Linked DNA regions of Lytechinus pictus. The protein of the gene in region 2 interacts with the protein of the main gene of each other region in a biochemical or structural test. Links are inferred from orthologs where the notes say so. Each region holds a gene or a part of one and is shown on either strand. Other genes may lie near its edges. The genes, in order: tubulin-specific chaperone D-like; ADP-ribosylation factor-like protein 2; retinal rod rhodopsin-sensitive cGMP 3',5'-cyclic phosphodiesterase subunit delta-like.

Evidence for each region.
Region 1: the proteins of ADP-ribosylation factor-like protein 2 (region 2) and tubulin-specific chaperone D-like form a complex in vitro, tested with the Homo sapiens proteins (2 studies listed by BioGRID and IntAct). The link is inferred for Lytechinus pictus from reciprocal best matches to the Homo sapiens genes ARL2 and TBCD.
Region 3: the proteins of ADP-ribosylation factor-like protein 2 (region 2) and retinal rod rhodopsin-sensitive cGMP 3',5'-cyclic phosphodiesterase subunit delta-like are reported together in a solved structure, tested with the Homo sapiens proteins (2 studies listed by BioGRID and IntAct, with this or other methods). The link is inferred for Lytechinus pictus from reciprocal best matches to the Homo sapiens genes ARL2 and PDE6D.

What each region holds. Positions count from the first base shown.
Region 1 is NC_087254.1:25,699,576-25,706,957, forward strand, and holds the start of tubulin-specific chaperone D-like, read left to right. Parts: upstream 1-4,355; 5' UTR 4,356-4,493; coding exon 4,494-4,586; intron 4,587-5,675; coding exon 5,676-5,777; intron 5,778-6,442; coding exon 6,443-6,595; intron 6,596-7,157; coding exon 7,158-7,213; intron 7,214-7,382.
Region 2 is NC_087251.1:47,611,120-47,618,745, forward strand, and holds the start of ADP-ribosylation factor-like protein 2, read left to right. Parts: upstream 1-4,545; 5' UTR 4,546-4,591; coding exon of another isoform or gene 4,592-4,663; 5' UTR 4,664-4,801; coding exon 4,802-4,866; intron 4,867-7,626. Other genes in the region: CCAAT/enhancer-binding protein zeta-like, read right to left, coding at 4,592-4,663. UniProt on the Homo sapiens protein: Small GTP-binding protein which cycles between an inactive GDP-bound and an active GTP-bound form, and the rate of cycling is regulated by guanine nucleotide exchange factors (GEF) and GTPase-activating proteins (GAP).
Region 3 is NC_087258.1:10,978,850-10,985,912, forward strand, and holds the start of retinal rod rhodopsin-sensitive cGMP 3',5'-cyclic phosphodiesterase subunit delta-like, read left to right. Parts: upstream 1-4,001; 5' UTR 4,002-4,555; coding exon 4,556-4,596; intron 4,597-7,063. UniProt on the Homo sapiens protein: Promotes the release of prenylated target proteins from cellular membranes. Modulates the activity of prenylated or palmitoylated Ras family members by regulating their subcellular location.

The DNA.
Region 1 (7,382 bases), on a different chromosome or scaffold from region 2:
TAATTTTAGGAAAAACAAATTGTCTGCCCCCAAAGCATGAATAGACAACAAAAGCAGAGAAAAAGACAACCAAATAAAGAATGTGTGGCCAAAAGTGTGATTTTGGAGGGCTTTGGCATACCTGCCAACCATTCCGATTTTGGCGGAATTATACTGATTTTTCGACCTCCATTCCAAATTTTAAAACCAAAATTCTGATTTTTGGGTTAATCAATATAGTGTTGAAATTATTGAAACGGCTGTATAATGCGACTAACGCATGCACGGCTGTAAGATGCGACTAACGCATAAACGACTGGAGCGCACGGCTAGGCAAATGCGCTAGCTACACGATATACACAGAGAGCGACTTTAAACGGCGCGCGAACACTGCTAAGTGCGCAGTTCCATTGCAAATACATGTGAAAATTAACAAGCATACACGCAATGGCAGCACTTAGGGCGCTACATTTTGAGGTGTTGTCGTTAGCGTTGACTTCCGGAAAAAAATGGCGGCTGACATTGGCTAGCGAAAGAGCCAATTTTTAGTGAGGACATGTTTTCATAATCCACGAACATCGGAAAAACCGTGAAAGAGTAACCTTTTTAGACCCCTTGTTTCCTAACTACGATGTTAAGAATCACCGATGGTGATATTTTTGACGCGAAACAAGGTGATTTAGGTAAGAAAATTTCACTTTTTATTTGAGGTTTTTGCCCATGTCGCCGGATGATTTTGTAGTGTGGGAGTGAGTTAGTGATGTATCGTACATATCTAGAGTGTGTTGGTGATTACAGTGGTATATCGCTGAGTCTGCTGATGATATGAACGGCAGGTCGTTGAACACCGGCCCCCGCCCGGCCGCGTACCGACGCAATTAAGTTAGATCTATCCCTACGCAATTTTAACATTGATCTGTACTTTATTTTTCGAATAATTGTCAATTTTTTGAGGAAGAAAGATGATAAACTTTCGATCTCGGGTTGAGCCTTCAGAGCCGAACGCCAAATCTACTTTACTTGCTTCGCTTGCCTAAACCATGCCTGAACTCCCGGCGCCCGCCCAGTGGCTGCGCCTCAGCCTCCCCGTCTTATACCAGCGCTCCGTTTTTTTCATGGTTGAAAATCTGCTTTCTTCTACCAACAAGCACTTATCAAATGTAGGTTATCATTAGTTATGATATAACCTTGTCCTCAGTCAGTAACCCCTGTGTGGTGAAATAACATGAATAAGACAATGTCAATGTTTGGCTTATTTTCTCTTGATGCATGATTGATAGGCTGGATAATAAATGTTTGATTTTTTGGCTTGTCAGTTTTTAATACAGTAGGGATAACTTATCTAAATTCATCATAAAATCTTGTAATTATTTTTTTTGTCTAATTGAAAATAGAATGTGTGGAGATGAAGATCTGCATCAATCTCACTTTCCACCAATAGAGGGCCTCACAAAAATATGCTCAAAATCAAAGTTTTTAGAGAGCTCTGATGAACAAGAAAAATTATCCCTAAGTCTATATAGATATATCACACCTGAATGAAACTGGGTGGTTTATGTCACAAAAGTGATATTTTAAAGACCTTTTTTAAATTTTTAATTGATAAATAAAGGTAGACTCTACATGTAGGTCATCCTCTGATGTGGTAATGAGGGTAAATTTGCTTTAAAAAGTGTAGGGAAATGCTACTTTTACATGCTGAAAATGCAAAGAGTCCCTATACCGTTGGAGCGGACCGGACACCCGCTCGGTGCCCTCGGAACTTTGATACTGATTTTTTATTATCAAAGGTTGGCAGGTATGCTTTGGCGGCCATTTCGGAAATTGGCCAAGCACACTTTTTTCTTGGACCCGAGACAAAAAATATCATTTCATGTTCAGATAAATTTCAAGGAATAAAAAAAAACTCCATACTAAAATGACCAAAAAGTATTTTTGACACATGTATAGCCCACTCCTATTATCATAGGAATGGTGTATTATGTGAGTAATTATTCAACAGTTGTTTTTGTCTCACCTGCATAGCAGAGTGAGACTATAGGCGCCGCTTTTCCGACGGCGGCGGCGGCGTCAACACCAAATCTTAACCTGAGGTTAAGTTTTTGAAATGACAGCATAACTTAGAAAGTATATGGACCTAGTTCATGAAACTTGGCCATAAGGTTAATCAAGTATTACTGAACATCCTGCCTGAGTTTCATGTCACATGACCAAGGTCAAAGGTCATTTAGGGTCAATGAACTTAGACCATGTTGGGGGAATCAACATCAAAATCTTAACCTAAGGTTAAGTTTTTGAAATGTCATCATAACTTAGAAAATATATGGACCTAGTTCATGAAACTTATACATAAGGTTAATCAAGTATCACTGAACGTCCTGCATGAGTTTCACATCACATGACCAAGGTCAAAGGTCATTTAGGGTCAATGAACTTTGGCCGAATTGGGGGTATCTGTTGAATTACCATCATAACTTTGAAAGTTTATGGATCTGATTCATGAAACTTGGACATAATAGTAATCAAGTATTACTGAACATCCTGTGCAAGTTTCAGGTCACATGATCAAGGTCAAAGGTCATTTAGGGTCAATGAACTTTGGCCAAATTGGGGTATTTGTTGAATTACAGCCATAAATTTGAAAGTGTGTTGGTCTAGTTCATAAAACTTGGACATAATAGTAATCAAGTATCACTGAACATCCTGTGCGAGTTTCAGGTCACATGATCAAGGTCAAAGGTCATGTAAGGTCAAAGAACTTTGGCCACGTTGGGGGTATTTGTTGAATTGCCATCATATCTCTATAAGTGTATTGGTCTAGTTCATAAAACGTGGAAATAAGAGTAACCAAGTATCACTGAACATCTTGTGCGAGTTATAGTAGTTTTCAAAATCAGCACTGCTGCTATATTGAATCGCGTGATGCAGGTGAGACGGCCAGAGGCATTCCACTTGTTGAAAGTCAGCACTGCTGAGCTCGCATAATGCAGGCGAGACTACCAGAGGTGTTTCACTTGTTAAGGTCAGTGACATGGAAAAGTCTTCTGATGTGTACACCAGCAGAATTTGATGGAACTGCCCTATAAAATTGCCTAAGTGTGATTGCCATTTACATTGTATGGTGTCATATCTTTTAGTTTTGGTGTCATATCTTATCTTGAGTAGATTTTAACAGAGTTTGTTCATGAATATCTGGCACATTTCCCTGAATAGTAATAATATGCAGCATTTATATAGCGCTTTATACATTGTTTCTAAGTGCTGCATGCTATTACCCTAGCTTAAAGGGATGGTCCGGGCTGAAAGTATTTATAGCTTAATAAATAGAGTAGAATTCACTGACCAAAATGCCGAAAATTTCATCAAAATCGGATTACAAATTACAAAGTTATTGAATTTTAAAGTTTAGCAATATTTTGTGAAAACAGTCGTCATGAATATTCATTAGGTGGGCTGATGATGTCACATCCCCTCTTGTTCTTTTGTATATTATTATATGAAATTAGGTTTATTCAATTTTTTTTCCTCCAAGAACTAGAATTTTGGATTGACAACTGATTTAGTGCATTATATATTGATTGCTGCAACTTATTTCATTATAAGGGAGACATATTTTTCACACAACTATGAAATAATGAAAATATTATGATTTTATGTAATAACATAAGAAATCGGAAAGTGGAGATGTGACATCATCAGCCCACCTAATGAATATTCATGACGACTTTTCACAAAATATTGCTAAACTTTAAACTTCAATAACTTTGTAATTTGTTATCCGATTTTGCTCAGTGAATTCTACTCTATGTATTAAGATATAATTATTTTCAGCCCGGACCATCCCTTTAAGCATGGCTACTCTAATCAGGCGTTCTAAGAAATTTAAAGAAATTTCTTCCTTCTGGATACCCATTTACTACATCTGGGTGGAGAATGGCAATTGTAGATAAACGCCTTGCCAAAGTACGCTAGTGCTGCGGTGGGATTCAAACCCTGGACCTTGTGGTTCAGAGTCCGGAGATGTATCCGCTCACTGAGCCAGAACACCACTTTCATTCCTACTTTCAGTGAATAGCCACTTTCACTGAGCTACTCTTGTCTGTCGCTCAAGCATGCACGGAATTCCTTCCTACCACGTACCCATTTACTACACCTGGTTCCCGTTGCATATAAGTTACTATTGTAATAACTTTGCCATCCAGTGGTGACTACCATAATATTAACGCTAATCAACGGCCAGTCAAAATCAAGGATTTCAGGAAAGTTGGCATTGTATAGCAGAGTTACCATAATAGTATTTTTTATGCAACAGGACCCTGGATGGAGAGTGGGAAATGTATATAAACACCTTGCCAAAGTGTGCAAGTATTGTGGCAGGATTGGAACCCTGGATCTTGTGGTTCAGAGTCCAGAGACTAATCCACTGAGCCAGAACAACACTTTCTTTCCTACTTTCAGTGATAGTGGATGAATACCAGGAGCAGCCTCATTTACTGGACCCGTACCTAGAGGAGATGGTCCTGGACTTCCTCTCCATTGGTAGAGATATGAATGTCGACAGGAAGCTCTCTCATCTTGCCTTCAAATTCCTCTATCTACTCACAAAGGTAACGATCCATCCAGATATTAGATGAGCAGAATAGGATCATGATTCATAAAACTCTTTGTAAAATTACAATGAATATCTAGATTATAATCTATAATGTGACCCCCAGAATTCTCTTGACTATTTAACATAGTGTGATTTTATATATTAAGAAAAATAATATACTTTCTTTTGCTATCAAATGTATTCATATTAACAAGGGTTGACAGTAGTAAAGAATGTTTACAATACAATTGAAAATATATCACATTAAGCTTACCATAATTCAAATTTTTATAAAGTGATTCATAACAATGCAAACAACATGAACAAACAGCTGGTCTGAGCTAATATTTAAGTTATGAGCATTCATAGAAAAATAATTATTCTTGCACCACCATATATTTCTCATTTATCCCTGCCCATTATTATATGATATGCCCTTATGTGATTCGTAGGTATGCCTTTATATTTGTAGTGGAAATTTGAATGTGAAAGTTATTACTGCTATTTTTCTTCATATTCTTGATCAGAAGTTGAATATTTTGGTTATTCCCAATGTATAATCTTCGTAAAGAAACCTTCCTTTTATGGCTTACATAAATGTATTTTTATTGAATTTACAGTCCGTGTGGTAAAAATAATATTCATGCAGGGTTCCATTGTATACTGTAGTTACTGTTCATAGTAATAATGCCTTCCAGTGGTAAGTACCATGATAGTAGTAAACAACAGCCAATCAAACAAGAGGATTCCTTGGAAGTTACTATTGGATGGCAAAGTTTTCACAATGGAAAAAAACCGTGTCAGTTTTGGAAATTGGAATGATTTGGCATTTACAATTAGTCAGTCTCCATCACTACCTGTTTTCAGAAAGGCACTAAAATATTTTAAAAACCCATCTCTTTTATAGAAGCCTGTAGTTTAAAGATGATATACATGTAGTTCCATGCATTGTATGCATTGGATTCATTGTATAAAGCGCTCTTAGCCTAACAGAAAAAGCACATTATAATGATGACAACAATAACGGGGCCCAGAATATACACTGTATTCTTTTCCTGGTCAATTGCCCATGTGTATTGCATGAATAAATCACCTTTCTTTGCAGGCCCGTGGACCAAAGGTCATCGTGAGGCTGTTACCCCATGAGGTCGTGGATCTGGAACCCACCCTAGCTCTTCTTAGTGCTCAAGATCCTAATGATTATGAGGTATTATTAGTGAAAGTATTTTTACGATAATTGTCAGAATTATATGGTGACGGTTATTGATGCTTCAGCTTGGGGCTTTCTTCATGAATATACATGCATATTTTTGTACCAAGTCTATATAGCTAAATTACAGTATCAACTTAATCCATTGGAAAACGTACCTGTCAAGTCAAGTAAAGCGACAAGCGACAAGAAATCATTAATATCTGATTGTTAATTTCATAATCAATTATAGAAAAGGTACTTAAACCAAGTTATCAGTTATGAGAGATGCTTTGAAATCAAGCTTAATACTATTTGAGTTGTAGTAGAATGTTGATCCATTAAGTATCACCATGTTTGCATACAAATCCAGAATTTATGTATTCTGTCATAGTGACATATTTGTCTCTCGGCATATAGGTTTCTTTTTTGGAGAAACATCTCCCTAAAACTGGATTGGGCTTTAGGTGACCTTCATGTACCATCCAAAACATTAACATTATTGTTTAAGATTGAATACCTCTTTCTCTGATTTCTTTTATTATTTGAATGGAATTTGAAAATATTCATCTTTTCTATGAAAATTACTAAGCAAAATCCAGATTTAAAAGTGTTATATTTGCGTATTATGTAGGTAACTGACCATCGTGTAATGATTAGCACATCCACTTTTTTAATTCCAGACCTGGGAGTCTCGTTACATGCTGTTACTGTGGATGTCTATGATATGCATGATACCATTTGATATGTCCAGACTGGACAGTGGTGTGGCCGGAGCAGGTGACCAACAGATCAAGAATCTACCTACTATGGACAGGATACTCAATGTGGCAAAGGTCAGTATTAAAAGAGAATGAAATCTGGTATGAGCAGAGAGCAAAGAGAGAATACTTTTAATTATTTCCGTCAGAATTATTCTTGGAATGAGAAAGTAATTATAGTCACATAAGTATCAATTTACTTTCTTTAGTGATTTTAGATTGGCAATGTTGCTTCAAAATGATGGGTATGGCTTTAGAAATCTCAATATGTTTTGTACACAAAATTATGCAATATCTTTCAAAATGCAGCTTGTCTCCTTAGCTCAGGATATATTAATCTTGATGCATGCTTCCTTTGATTTCAGATGATGTACATTTGACATTTGTGAAAACAAATCCATGTTATGCATGCTTTTGCACAAGACTCGGACAAGGGAGATGCATGCTGAATTGTATAGAAGATAATTATGTTGACTTGCAAATCGAACAGTTCTCTTTGTTAGTGGGTGGCAACGTTTCAAGTTAAATCAATGTTTTTGAATTATGATAAACCGTATACCATTAATCAATCCCCTGTGTTTGAAGATGATACAATATGTTCATTTCATTTAATATTTGCTGTTGTTTTTTTCTAAAGGTATATCTTGGGATGAGCGATAAATGTCGAGACGCTGCTGCTTTTTTGGTTTCAAGGTAAGATGTCATAGAGTGGTAGAAAGTGGTTATTTAGAATAAGAATGAAATAAACATGCTGCCCTTTGATTTTAACATTAATTTTGTAAATCAGCTGTGAACAAAAACCTAATGTCATGAATGACAATCAACAAGTGATTTCACATATTTCATATCAAGATTTTTAAAA
Region 2 (7,626 bases):
TATAGATTTCCCAATCACCATAGATAACATACGGTTACATATACGGTATCTTATTTACATTGTTAGGTACTGACGATATCTTCATAAATACATTCACAATTATTTCATGAAATGTCACCATTGCCGTGGCTGTGACATTTAAAGCCTGAAAGCTATTACATAAGATATTGTTTGCACTTTGATATAATAGAGGTCAGATATATTCTTGTCATCTAATATAAACATTCCATTATTATGCACCATGTTTCAAAATGGGTAAGAAAATTACATTACCATCAGCATCCAGATATAAATTAGTCCATGATTAGACCAGGGAGATCGGAGTCTACCCCCTTTTTTTGGAATTTCTATTTTCTCAGCACATCGAAGTGAGGAAAAACCACCAAAAACCCTATATTGGTATTAAATGATAACCATTTATTGTAAACAACGTTTAGGACTGGGGGAATTGGGGGAGAGGGTATGGGGAGGGAGAGTATTTCATTTTCCAATAAAATGCAAAATTATAATATTTTCGTGAACATGAACAAATAAACAAAAAGTTAATAGCTCAATATCTTTATTGAATTGTTCAGTAGAACAATAATACTAGCTCTAATATTGTTAAAAACATTTCAGTCATTGTAATTACATGTGTTTCATCAATCTCAATATATTGACAATGAAAATAATTTTTTAATATAGAAAATATATTTTATATGACTATTGTGAATTTTAAATAATCCCATTTTAGATCGTTGATTAAACCACCTTTCTGTAAACAATCACTTTGATATCTCCTGTAAAATCAATTTTAGATAAAAAAATATTTTCTGTTAAAATTGATTTCTAAGATTCCTGTCTGAAAGTTGATGAAACACCTTAGCTCGAGTAAAAATGCATAATACAAAGATATTGAATACTCAAACTAGTGCTGCAAGTCAGGCGCCATGTTCGGGTTCGGTTCGGTTCGGCAAGGTTCGGCAGAAATTTGCCGAACATTGGTTCGGTTCGGGGTTCGGTAATGATAGACTGATAAGCTATAGTTCATTCAGGTATACGTAGCGTACCGGTAGACAATTTGTACTTGATTGACTGCATGTGCTCGCGCGTACCTCTGTCACATCAAACCATTTTATCTCTATCTTGTTGACATGAAACTATGAAAGTTATAGCGCTCAACGAATCAACTGTTATCTCGAATTTGATTATCTGATGACAGATTTATTGGGTAACTCACAGTTCTAAAATTGCGACTCTTCCTAGTCGTCCATACCTGGACCACACTTTGGATACTTGCCAAATTAACTACGCTCGCGATCGCACTCGTACCGTACCCGTACCAGCTAGGCCAGCGCATGCAGTCCCCTTGTAGCGGGACTCTGAGCTCATGAATATTTATATACTATACAGTCTAGTCCGGCCAAACGTGATTGGCAATTGCATCACATACGAGGCGGCCAGCGCCAGTGCATGCAGTGCACTGAACTGTAGGCATAGTAGGGCCAGGGGCGTGTCGAAGAAAGCGTGCTTATGTAATGCGCCTTTCGCTAATTGGCTCGATGGGTGAACTAAACCACCAATCGCATGTCGCTGATTGTCGCATCGGTACATACAGCCACGTGCTTTGTCTGCTCGCGAAACTCAGCTCACTGATTGAAGAGCAATTCCCGAGATTTCTATGATTTCATTGGTCAGATTTCATTCGACCATGAACATACAGACCAAGTGGGATGCAAAGTTTGGACAGGGGGAGTAGAGTGATCATCGAATTGTTTATGGTTAATTTGAGAAGTTGATAAGAAAGGGGAAAAAAGTAAAGATTGGGGGTCATTTCCCCCCAAGAGATGAATGTTTCCGCATGGCTTTATCTTCATTCAACTTGTCAACGAGGGGAAGTGGATCTTGCTATATGCTATACCGTAATCATTCATGAGTGTTTGATTTTTATTTTCATCTGATTGTTAATAATAAAAAAGATAACTTCACCTCATCTCATTTCTATATTATTTGTTTTGCGTCTCTCCTTTTCATCTGTAACAGTCACTCACTTTATTTCCCACTTTCACTGGATCTCTCGTTTTCAAAACTCTTTACTTCTCTCTAAAATCATGAAAACTAGACAGTACTGTAGCGAGCCGACACCTCAATAATAATGTCAATCATCTCAATCAGATCTTTATTCTCCGCGCCGCCGCAACAATACACGAGTTACGATCTTAATCACATCGTATCGTAATTCGTAATATTAATGGTACTTCATCTTTCACTTTCGGTTTATTGAGCTCGTTCATTCAAAATACTTTGAAGATTTTCAAACAAGAATCTTGTTCGCCACCTAAAAACAACAATATTTTAGATAATTAGATTTAACCAATGAACACTCATACAGTTTTGGTTTTCTTTACCATGCTTCGGCGATTCGGCCACAGAGCGAGAGATGATGAAAGCCAGTAAAATGATTATAGCGCAAGCTCGCGCAACATCATTCATCGGATCTCATTTCTTAATCAGGGCCGTAAAAACCACAATGTCAACATGAAAATGAAAACAAAATCTAGTAACCGCAAAATAAGCGCGTACTTCCAACATACAATTGCAAAGAAGATTAAATAGAGAATGCGCAAATATAATGATTAGAAAGGGTGTAAACTTATAAATTTGTTAGCTGAAAGCCGTTTTTTTTTTTTTTTTGCCGAACTTCCGAACCAAGTCTTAGTGTTCGGTTCGGTTCTGTTCGGTTCGGAAGTGCCATGTTCGGCGAACTACCGTTCGGTTCGGCGGTTCGGCTACAGCACTAACTCAAACTCTTATAATGATATTGTCCAGCAAAACAGAAAATTGTCAAATAGTTAATGAAAAATAATTGAATTATAAACCAACAATTAAGTCAAATAGAATATGAAAATTATAACACACAATCACGTCACATTCGTTCTCACTCTCGTAGCTGTAGGATGGGGGGGGGGGGGTTGGGCGTCCGGACACTATATTTTTGAAGCCTTCTTTTTTGTCTTTGCATTACACTAAAAGTATGAATTCAAGGGTTGTAATCATCTTGTTCTCCATAATATTTCCTAATATCTTGTATTAAAAATTGATGAAACTTCGCTTGTAAATTTTTCCAAATGACTTTCTAAAATTGATCGTCCGGACACACTACCTGTCCATACAACTGGGTAGACTCATGCTAGTCTAGAAGCACTCCCACACTCCAGACAAAGTGTCACAAGTACATGAATTCTCGTAAGCACACAGAAAATACAACTTATAATATGCTCTAATAAAATGTACTGCCTTTCAGGGTTCAAACATCCTACAAATACACTCTTTTAGAACATCAAATGATTCTATTAAAAAACAAAGTTAATTTACAGGACATTAATATACATGTATGAAGTCTGCGCCAAGCATCTAATCATAAGGCAGTCTACCAGGAAATTCATCTATCGCGGGGGCAACGCAGAATTCAGTACAGACAAGTATACATGTACATTATAAATACGCTGTGCACTGTACTCTATGCAAATACAATTTATGAAAGCGGCCTTCGGCCTTGCGTAACCAGATGAAAACCACATGTTTTGCTTAGACTTCGGACACTGCCTGCCGAAGTGCCGATATCATCCGAACATGCGCCCGAAATCTACACGCTGGCATCTTTACAGAGTGTTGTGCTCCGTGAGTCAGCCGATCGCGCGGTGTAAAGATTCTCACACACAGCGCTGGGCGAGGAAGGGAAGAGGGTCGCGCGATCAGCCAATCAGCGTGCAGGGAATCCGTCTACTGTGTGCCTATGGGGAAAGTTCTATGTGCCTGGGTTAACCCTGAACATGATCATATTGCTCATCTCACTATATATATAGACAGCTGGCAGCCGTCTGTTTCGAGGAGTTTTTTAACATTTTTTTATTTTTTAAATTTCTCCTCATACACAGACGGCTTGCTATCGTGCAGCCACCATTAGGGGACTTACAATGCAAAATCCCCCCGTCGGGGCTCTTAAATTTTTGTCTTTAATGAATCAAACTTTTGAAAATTAACGCGACCGAAATGCAAATTAATATTCCCTCTTGGGCTTGGCATTAATTGCCAAAAAACGGGGAAAATCAAGTTAAATGGAACAAAAACAGTGACTTACCTCGGCTGTCGCGCAACTTCACTGCCCTGTTTTATCCGAACTTAATACACATAAACATATGCCATGGCCATCATGGCCATTGGCATTGAGTCCCCTGTACAGATCGCGCTAGAACTTCGGTCTCTGTATTTGGTGAGTGAAGCCAACGGAGTTCAGCTGAACAACTAACATAATAGAGACCGAAGCTTTTGGTCTAATCTCACTAATAAAATCTCGAATGACGTAGACCGCGATCACACCACTGCACACTCATCCTACGAACGAGGACGAGGTTATAAAATATAAATCTACTAAGTTCTGCACAAGATTAGCCTAGCTCATCGACTGTAAAGTCAAACAACACACACAATCTAATTTATGGGACATCACAAAATAATTTTGTGCAACAAACTGAATTACACTGGGCTAAATATGCATTAGAGAACGGTTCAAAATATCATTAGTGTTATAAAAAGTAATCAAGGTACATACATCATCATTCTGATTCACATCAGTCGTGGAATTTTTGGTCTTGATCTTCTTTTTCATGTTTTTCGTCTTCATTTCTGCTCACGTGTAGTCAATGTGGATGACGTCATTAACAATATGAATATTCATTTCTTCAAATTGTGTGCAACTACTGCCGCTGCAAGCAAGAAGAGCTTTTGACTCGCTTTTGTTTTTGAGAGATAATCACTGGGAATGGGATTGCTAACAATTCTAAAGAAGATGAGACAGAAGGAGAAGGAGATGCGAATCCTCATGCTGTATCCTTTATTAAGTAATATAAATAAGGTAGATTTATATTGGTCTGGATTTTAGGTCTAATGAGTTAGGGGGCCTTCCTCCAAAATAACGTTTGAATTCCAGCTCGGTCCCATTCATTTGATTTAACAGGGGTGAGTTAGGTCTAACTTCCTATTAAACTAAGTTAGACTAGAGTCACTCATACTGACTTTTAAAGTATGTTTAAAATCATTAATCATCTTATCTACATCAGAGCTCCTTGTTGTTGTTGTTGTTGTGCTCCTTTCCTCTTCTTTGAAACCCAATTGGGTAATGCTTTTGACTGTTGAGCAAGACTGAGTTCAGCAAATAATTTTTTTTCATTTAAAACTAAAAACAAGCCCTGTCAAAAACTCAAAAGGCCATTAATGAATATGAATTATATCATACCAATCTTACTGAAGTGTAGAGGCCATAGTTAAATCTTCCAACTGTCTACTGATATTCTCTGAATCTGAGGAAATTTGAAATAGATCTAGACTTCACCTAGACCAAAAAGCTTCGGTCTTTTATTGGTTGTTCCGCTGAACAGCTACGTTGGCTCCACTCACCTAATACATAGACCGAAGTTCTAACTCCATCTGTACAGGGACTCAATAGCCATATGTTTATGTATAAGTTCGGATAAACCAGGGAAGTGGAGTTGCACGACAGCCGAAGTAAGTCACTGTTTTTCCCCCCTTTTTTAAGTTCATTTTTCCCGTTTTGGTGCATTTCAGGCCAAAACGGAATAATAATCTTTATTTTGGCCCAGTTCTTTTTACATATTTTTATGAAATAAAGACAAAAATTGATGTGCCCCATCGGGGGGGATTTTGCATTGTTTACCCCCTAATGGCGGCTGCAAGATCGCGAGCCGTCTGTGTACGAGGAGAAATTAAAAATTAAAAATGTTTAAACACTCCTGGAAACAGACGGCTGCCAGCTGTCTAGACTTCACCTATTAAAAAAAAAATCAAATGTTTCACTTTCAACAGTAGAGTAGGATATCCCAGACAATATCAAGTCAACTTTTTTCAACTTTGATATAATAATCAACACTTTGATTGTGGGCATCAACAGAAAGACAAGACAAGACAAATCTGAAATATCTGGTGCCCTTTCTCTGTATTTTTTTCTCATAAAGATGGGTCTTTCAGCACTTATCATATTAATTTGATTATTGAATATTTGAAAGCAATAATCATAGTCACAGAAATATATCACAGAGTTTCTGCTCATTCCATGCTTTGGAAGAGGTTTCATGTTTTAGCTATTAATGAATTGGGGATTTACCGAAACTAAAGACAGGCTTTGACCATGATAATTATTGCTCATGTAAGATGGTTATTTTGTCATTTTCTTATTTTGCTTATTTCCTTTAACTTGTGTCAGGGCGCGACAAACCCGCTTGCCCGGGGCAAGTGAAAATGACGGGCGGGCAAGCATTTCTCAAAGTCAATTGCCCGATCGGGCAAGTGGTTGTTTTGAAAATAAAATAATAAAATGTCAGTGATAATCACAACTGTCCATGCTATCTCTCATATATTGTCAAACCAGTCAAAAAACAGTGGAAACTGATGTAAAATCAGCGCCAAATACAGATAATTTATCGCCAGGTACCTCGTTCGAAGAACCGTGCCATCTCATCTTACGTTCTATGTGCGCATGCGCTACTATCTTGCTACTATCCAAAAAAAAAAAAAAAAAAAGGCAAACGTGGCTAAAATTTCACATTTTTAATCTTTAAATACATGAAATGGACGTCTATTTTCCATATTACCTTGAGATTGTTTTGATATAGTTGGAAACAACCGAAAAAATGAAGAATATTCAGCTCTTTCTTGACTCTGATTTTGATGATGTTACACTCGGTAAATGTTTTTTCTTATTGTTGTCCCACATGTAGACTTTCATGGTGTTGAACAAGTGTTAATGTTGCAACACCATGAAAGTCTACATGTGGGACCACAATATAAAAAAATATTGACCGAGTGTAACATCATAATACGATGATGAAAAGACAAGAGAGAGGTGAATATTCTTAATTTTCTTGATAGTTTCCAACAAAATCAAAACAATTTCAAGGAAATATGGAAAATAATTGGCATGGATTTAAAGATGCAAAATGTGAAATTTTAGCCACTCCAGTTGGTGAAGGCCTTTTTTTTCTTTTCTTTTTTACATCATAAAACGATTTTTTCCAGAATCAAGAAAGAGCTGAATATTCTTCATTTTCTTAATAGTTTCCAACTAAATCAAAACAATTCCCAGGAAATGTGGCAAACAGATGACCATTCATGGATTTAAAGATGCAAAATATGAAATTTTAGCAACTTTTGGGGAAGTTTTTTTTTTTTTTTTAAACTTTTTTATACCTTTAACGCCCATTTAGATCTACTAGTACTATAGCAAAAGTTTTTTTCTTCAAAATAAACGTAATGACTCAGGCCTACTTTGCTGAAAATATACTTATAATTATAAATGTGTGTTCTTTACTGTACATGATTCTCAATTGTTTTTATTTTATATGACCTTCATAAATAATAATAGTACCGTCGTAAAAAAGAACGAAAGAAAATAATAAAACAAATTGGGCAAGCAGTTTTTTCTATCGGGCAAGCAAATATTTTCATCACTTGCCCGACAGGGCAAGTGATGAAAAAAAAATTTGTAGAGGCCTGTTGTGTTTTTTCAGCTGTTTTACATTTCTGTTCAGTCTAGACTTGAGTTCATTTCCATTTGTTTGCAGCACCGCCCTT
Region 3 (7,063 bases), on a different chromosome or scaffold from region 2:
GACGGTTCGTAATTCCGAAGGTTCGTAATTTCGAAGGTTCGTTAGTCCGAAAACGAAATAAGGTTCGTAATTCCGAAGGTTCGTTACTCCGAAAACGAAATGATGTTCGTAATTCCGAAGGTTCGTTAGTCCGAAAACGAAATGAGGTTCGTTAATCCGAAAATGTTAAGAAAAAGACAAAAAAGGGGTCTTTATCACCCCTATTCTGGTAGAAACAATCAACCCCCCCCCCCCGCAGAGCGATTAAAAAAATTGGGTTTATAAGTGGTAAACATTTTAATCAAGAATGGATCTTTTAATAGACATTTTCAACTTTGACAAAACAATTTAAAAATGTATCAACGCGCCCCTATCGATATTTGATTTGATAACTTCTATCTGCTCTCATACTGGTTTTCGTTAATAGGTTAATAGTAGTTTTCTCTTTGAATGCATTTATATTTTATTTGTTTGATGTTCTGTAGTCTGTGTTTTAAGTTGTACTTATCGTAAACATGCTCAGTTTGATCCTTGCGCCTTTGTATCATGTACCTTTATTTACGTTTAAATTGGATAAATAAAATGAATAATCAAATAAATTTGCAGGTCTAGCAATGAGAGAAAACATGAACTATAGCCTCATAAGCCTATGATCATCCCTTTCAGAGAATTCTGCGTACGTAAACGCCCCTGATAACGATTGATCAACCCCTTCCCCCAGGGGCGGTGAAAGCGGGTGGGGGGCACAGGGGGCACTTGCACCCCCAAAAAAAAACTAACAATAATAAACCCCGTAGGAACGAAATACTATTTTTCCAAAATGGGAAATTCCCTTGTATTTTCCAAAATAAAATGTGCCGTTTTTTTTTATGAAATACCCTTTTTAAAGTATACATTTTTCATTTTAGATTAGAAAATCCCAATTTTTTGGTCATTGTTATCATTCATTGTTTAGTGAGGTACTCACCATTTTCGGTTATAAAAAGGCTTAGAATGTCCAGTTTGCAAACTAAAATATCTTATTAGCTCGCGCTTCGCACTCGCATTATTCGATGTATCCTATTCATGAGTCACTAAACGCATGTCCTTAATTAACAGGTTCCTTTTCTGGTCATTATTCGGCTGGCACTTCGCGCTCGTGTTAATTCTTCAGTTAGATGCACATCTTTTTAATGATTGCAAAAACTGCTCAGAATGTTTTATTTTCATTTCTTATTGAAATGTCCAAAAGTTTGAGCTTGCGATTTACGCTCGCAACACCTTTCAAGGATGCCCTATTGACAGTTGACAAAAATACGAGCTTTACAACATCAGCTTTGAAAACTTTTCCAAACCGCTCGCTTGTTACACTCTCTCGCGAAAAATAAAGCCTAAATATATATCTTACCATAATCAGAAATCTCTTTAAAAAAGGCTTTGCTCTACTTTGCTCCGCCGTTCTTCTTTTTGCCTCCACATCCTCATAACAATTGAACAGCAACGGTGTTCCCCCCCCCCCCTCCACCACGCTTATACTCTTCTTTGGAATAAAGAACATTATTTTGTTTTCGGATTATCGAACCTTCGAAAAACGATTAACCTTATTTCGTTTTCGGATTAACGAACCTTATTTCGTTTTCGGATTATCGAACCTTCGGAACAACGAACCTTATTTCGTTTTCAGATGAACGAACCTTCGGAATAACGAATCTTATTTCGTTTTCGGACTAACGAACCTTCGGAAGTACGAATCTTCGGAATAACGCTACAAATTTTCGGATTAACGAACCCTTTTTCGTTTTCGGATTAACGAACATCGAGGTATAGGCAATTTACGTGTTTCGGAATTACGATTCTTCGGAATAACGAACCTTCGGAATAAAGAATCTTCGGAATTACGAAGTGTAACCACTATATTCATAGCAGATCAGGGCCCGTTGCAGAAAGAGTTGCAATCAATCGCAACTCTAAAAATCATGCGCAACTTGATTTTCAACCAATCAACAGCGCGCATTTGGGACTTGCGATGGGCTTGCGATTGATTATTTGACTTGCGTTTGAACGCAACTCTTTCTGCAACGGACCCCTGGTTCTATTTTAAATCCTTTAAAATTTAGAGAATATAAAGATTGCAACACTATTTTTAAGTGTTTTTTTTTATTACAAAAAGGATAGGCCTATATCCCATTAAACTATTAAGAAAAAACAGCCAAAATAAACAAACAAAAGAAAAGTAAAAAAATAATAACAAAATAAATAAACCTCTGTGAGTAAAATATATAAATTAACACTACAATCCTATATCAAAGCACTCTAAATTGCATGGATCAAGAGTGGATCAAGAGTGACTTTCACTTTATCATTATTATTATTGTTATTATTATCATTGGTAGTAGTAGTAGTAGTATAATGATAATAATAATAATAATAATGATAATGATATTATTATTAGTTATTATTATCATTATCATCATTATTATCATCATCATTATTATTATCCTCTCTCCGCCTGACCTGGAGCATTCTGCGCCAGACAGACCCACAGCTCAAATGACTATATCTTTTCCATGTCACTCTCATGTCTAGCTTTCTGCACCATAGAGAGTTGTGCTGCACATGGGCGGAAATCCCAGGGGGACAGGGGGCGCTTCCCCCTACCATTTGGAAAGGGGGCACCCAATATCAAATGTCCCCCCTATTATTTGTGGACTTTTTAAATTATGTCTACCACCCCTGTGAAATGTAACAACGAATTATACGACTGGGGAAGTTAAAGAAAAGAAAATATGAAAATTATTGCGATTGTAACATTGAATTCCCGTAGCCATAGACTCAGGTCAGCAACAATGAAGGGAGTTTTCCTAGCCCGAACAGTATTCACCGTTAGCCTATATTGTCTTCTGCTTTGATGGGAAAACGAAATGCTTGTTTTTCAAACGATCAGTCGAATTCGTGCAACTTTTCTCGGCCAATGCATGCATCATTCATATTTTACGCATAAGGTCTCATTATGAAAGAGGAAAAGGTGGATATTTCCGAATAGATAGCAGTAAAAGCAGTAAAAAAAGAAAAAATTCACCCAAAATCGTAATCTGCTCGTGCAAATGAAAATGTGGTATAGCATCATTTTCTATCGTTCTAACTCACTCATGCGAGCATTATGAACGTTAAGATGGGTCTAAAAATTCAAAGAAGATCGAAAGCATAATATTTCCATTCATGTACATTTTATGAAGCAAATTTATGATCATGATAGGAAAAACTTTAAACTGAATCACGGTTTCCTTTTTTTCTGGGACGCACTGTATACAGGGGCCGCGGAAACGGGGGGCTGCGGGGGCCGGGGGCTTCAGATTTTTTTTTTCAAAAACCGTGTACAAAAACGTAAAAATTACCATCTGATTATGATTTTTTGCATGGTCAGCCCCCCCCCCCACTTTCACAACCGTTCCGCGGCCCCTTGTATATCAGGTACGGATCGAGGATTCTCCGAAAGCCTGGGGGCATTTTGTACAGGAAAATTTTGACAACCAAAAAAAAGGTCTTCACTACCAAATCAATCGCGATTGACCATTGACCAGTCTTTCAAAACCACCCTTTTTCTTAAAAATCGGTGTTTTTGATCCTGCGGCCCGTGTCCAAAACTGAAAAAAAAACCACCCCTTTATACGCGTTTGTTTTTGGTCACGCATGTGTACAGTAGTATTTGACTCCCCCCCCCCCCCCCCCGGGGGAGGAGGAGGAGGAGGAAGATCCCAGTTACAATAATCCACTCTATATAGTTTTTTTAGTATTTAGAACGAGCGACATCTACTGGCGCAATTTTAAGTATCAATTCACCCTGTTTACACACAGAAACATAATCCCATGTAGCAGGTTTGGATACTAAATCCCAATGTATTTAGAAATTATATTGGGTTTTATTCAATAAAAAAATATCTGACGATCATTTTCTCAAAAAATTTTACCTCATAATTGGGAAAATTATAAATAAAACGAAAACGATCCAAGCGGAATGATATAGTTTAGAGTGATGCGGCTGTTACCGGGTGACATTAACGCTGCAGAAAGCTAGCTGCTAACTTCATACAATCTGAATCCCGAAATACGTAGACTTGTGTACAAAGTAATGGATTAAACTTAGAGATTGTTTTACCTATAGCAGCTAGCAAAAAGGAAGTATGCAATGCATGAAATAAGGGATGGAGTTGAGCATCGACCGGTCGACTACCATCAATATCAAGTCTACGTTTTATTCAATTTGGTACAAGGATATGGGCCACTGTGAATAACCAACTGTGCTTTTTGGAACGATCTTACAGAAAAACAGTGTTGATACCAATTGAAGAAAACACTTGTATAGATCTACATCTACGTCGTTTAAGTTTTCGTTGTTGCCTGATCGAGACGACGAGAGGACCCCCGTGGATTGAGCTTCGACCCGACCTGTGGCTGTGCCGTCTGCCGAGCCTGCGCCTGCGTGGTGGCCCGAATTCACCGGCCCATTGACATCCTATTGCGGAATTTGGAAGACGTATTTTTGGATCTTGAATGTTATTTTCAGTTTGAGATAAATTGCAACGAACCCTTAGTCAAAATGCCTAGTAGAGCAGAAGATATTTTAAAAGGTTTCAAAGTGTATCCTTTTCCAAATCACATACTCACGGGACTAGCTAACCCAGGGAGCTCCGGCCCGCGCAGCAGGCCGGAGCCCAGGGGCTTACCGTGTAATTCGCCATACCCCACGGTACTAGTAGCGTGAGGTATGGTCTAAATCATTTTAAGAGTAAATAGTTAAAACAGAAATTAAGCACTTACCACGATTATATGGATGAAGGTCTAACGAGTGGCAGCTTCCTGACATCGAGGCACAGACTGGAACCTCAAAAAACGAAAAGTTCTGTCGCGGTAGCTCTCCTTCTTTCAGAATTCAAAACAAAATGGCCGATCGAGACCGAGGCTATAGCACTAGCGCATATAGACTTTGTCAAATTCGCGCATGCGCCCTACACCCTCGGTACCGGTCTCGAACAGCCATTTTGCTATGAATTCTGAAAGAAGGAAAGCTACCGTGACAGAACTTTTCGTTTTTTGAGGTTCCAGTCTGTCACTCTGTGCCTAGATGTCAGGAAGCTGCCACTCGTTAGACCTTCATCCATATAATCGTGGTAAGTGCTTAATTTCTGTTTTAACTATTTACTCTTAAAATGATTTAGACCATACCTCACGCTACTACCGTGGGGTATGGCGAATTACTCGGTAAGCCCCTGGGCTCTATGGTCTAAATATTTCTCCAAATGAATTGTGAAAACAGAAATTATGCACTTAGGCCTACCACGATTATATGGATGAAGGTCTAACGAGTGGCAGTTTCCTGACAACGAGGCACAGACTGGAACTTCAAAAAAACGAAAAGTTCTCTCCTTCAACCCCAGTCTCGATCGGCCATTTTGTTACGATTCATAACAAAAATGGCTGATTGAGACGGGGGTAGAAGGAGAGAACTTTTCGTTTTTTTGAAGTTCCAGTCTGTGCCTCGTTGTCAGGAAACTGCCACTCGTTAGACCTTCATCCATATAATCGTGGTAGGCCTACATGTAAGTGCATAATTTCTGTTTTCACAATTCATTTGGAGAAATATTTAGACCATAAATCACGCTAGTCCCGTGAGTATGGTCAAATACACGGTAAGCTCCCTGGGTTAAGTCAGAATCAGATTGGGCGTGGGGGGGGGGGGGCCATTTTTTTGGGTAAGAGTTCCATAGCACCCCCACTATAATTGAAAATAAAAACATGGAGAAGGTTCAGAATAATATATCTAGCCCTAAATATAGAACATAGATCTATGTGATGAGGGAGTGGAAATACATACCAAAATATGGCTTTATTCCGTCAAATTTCGAGCAGGATCTAGTGCGTGTAATTGTCCATAGACATCGGTTTATTTAGTCAGTAAGGGTCTGTGAGTCGAGACTAGTCGAACTATCGTTTGATAATCGTTAAAATACCACTTCCGGTATCGGCGCTTCTCACTAGCATAGCGGGAACGGTCTTGACTGCAAATAAAACGAGGTGAGTCCCAACTAAGGAAAGCAACAGTAAAAAAATGATAGAAAAATCTGAAGTGAACAAACCAGAAGTCTCAACAATCTTGTTATTTTTGGTGGGGGTGCATATGAACTCTTTCTTTTTTTTCCTATGAATTTTAACACTTTTTATCGTTCAGTACTACAGATACATGTAAGCCATTTTATAATCTTTTTATTAGGCGACTATTCTAGACTTGACTTGTAAGTTGTACTAGATCTAGGTATTTCATTCCAAGTCTTGTGTAGATTTAGACAGCTGGCAGCCGTCTGTTTCAAGGAGTTTTTTTAACATTAAAAAAAATTCTCCTCGTACTCAGATGGCTCGCGATCGTGCAGCCACATTTAGGGGGTTAACAATGCAAAATACCCCTGACGGGGCTCATCAATTTTTGTCTTTATTTCATAAAAATATATAAAAAGAACTGGACCAAAATAAAGATTATTTTTACTTTTTGGCCAGAAATGCACCAAATCAGGGAAAAATAAACTTAAAAGGGGAAAAAAGTGACTCGGCTGTAGTGCAACTCCCGCTTCCCTGGTTCATCAGAACTTAATACATAAACATATGGCCATTGAGTCCCTGTACAGATCGAGTTAGAACTTCGGTCTCTGTAATTGGTGAGTGGAGCCAACGGAGTTCAGCGGAACAACCAATACAGTATGACAGAGACCGTAGCGTTTGGTCTAGCCTAGATTCTAATCTAGATCTGACTAGGCCTAAGTTAGATCTACTATCTAGGGCTAGGCCTAGATCTAGATTTTTTATCAAAAAATTGAAAATATTTCATTAGACCCACTCATTCAATGAACAAGGGTATGATATAATTATAACCTTGTTCTGTTTTTAGTACTCCATGTGTGGCAAAATAAGGTTGGCAATGTTTGGTTTATTTTCTCTTTTTCTTTGGAACAAATGCTTGATTGTTTGACACTGTCTGATTCCATTGCAGCTAATCATCATGATCATATAACTTGGCTCTTAAGTACAATACAGAGAAAAAGAAACTTGGCATGAT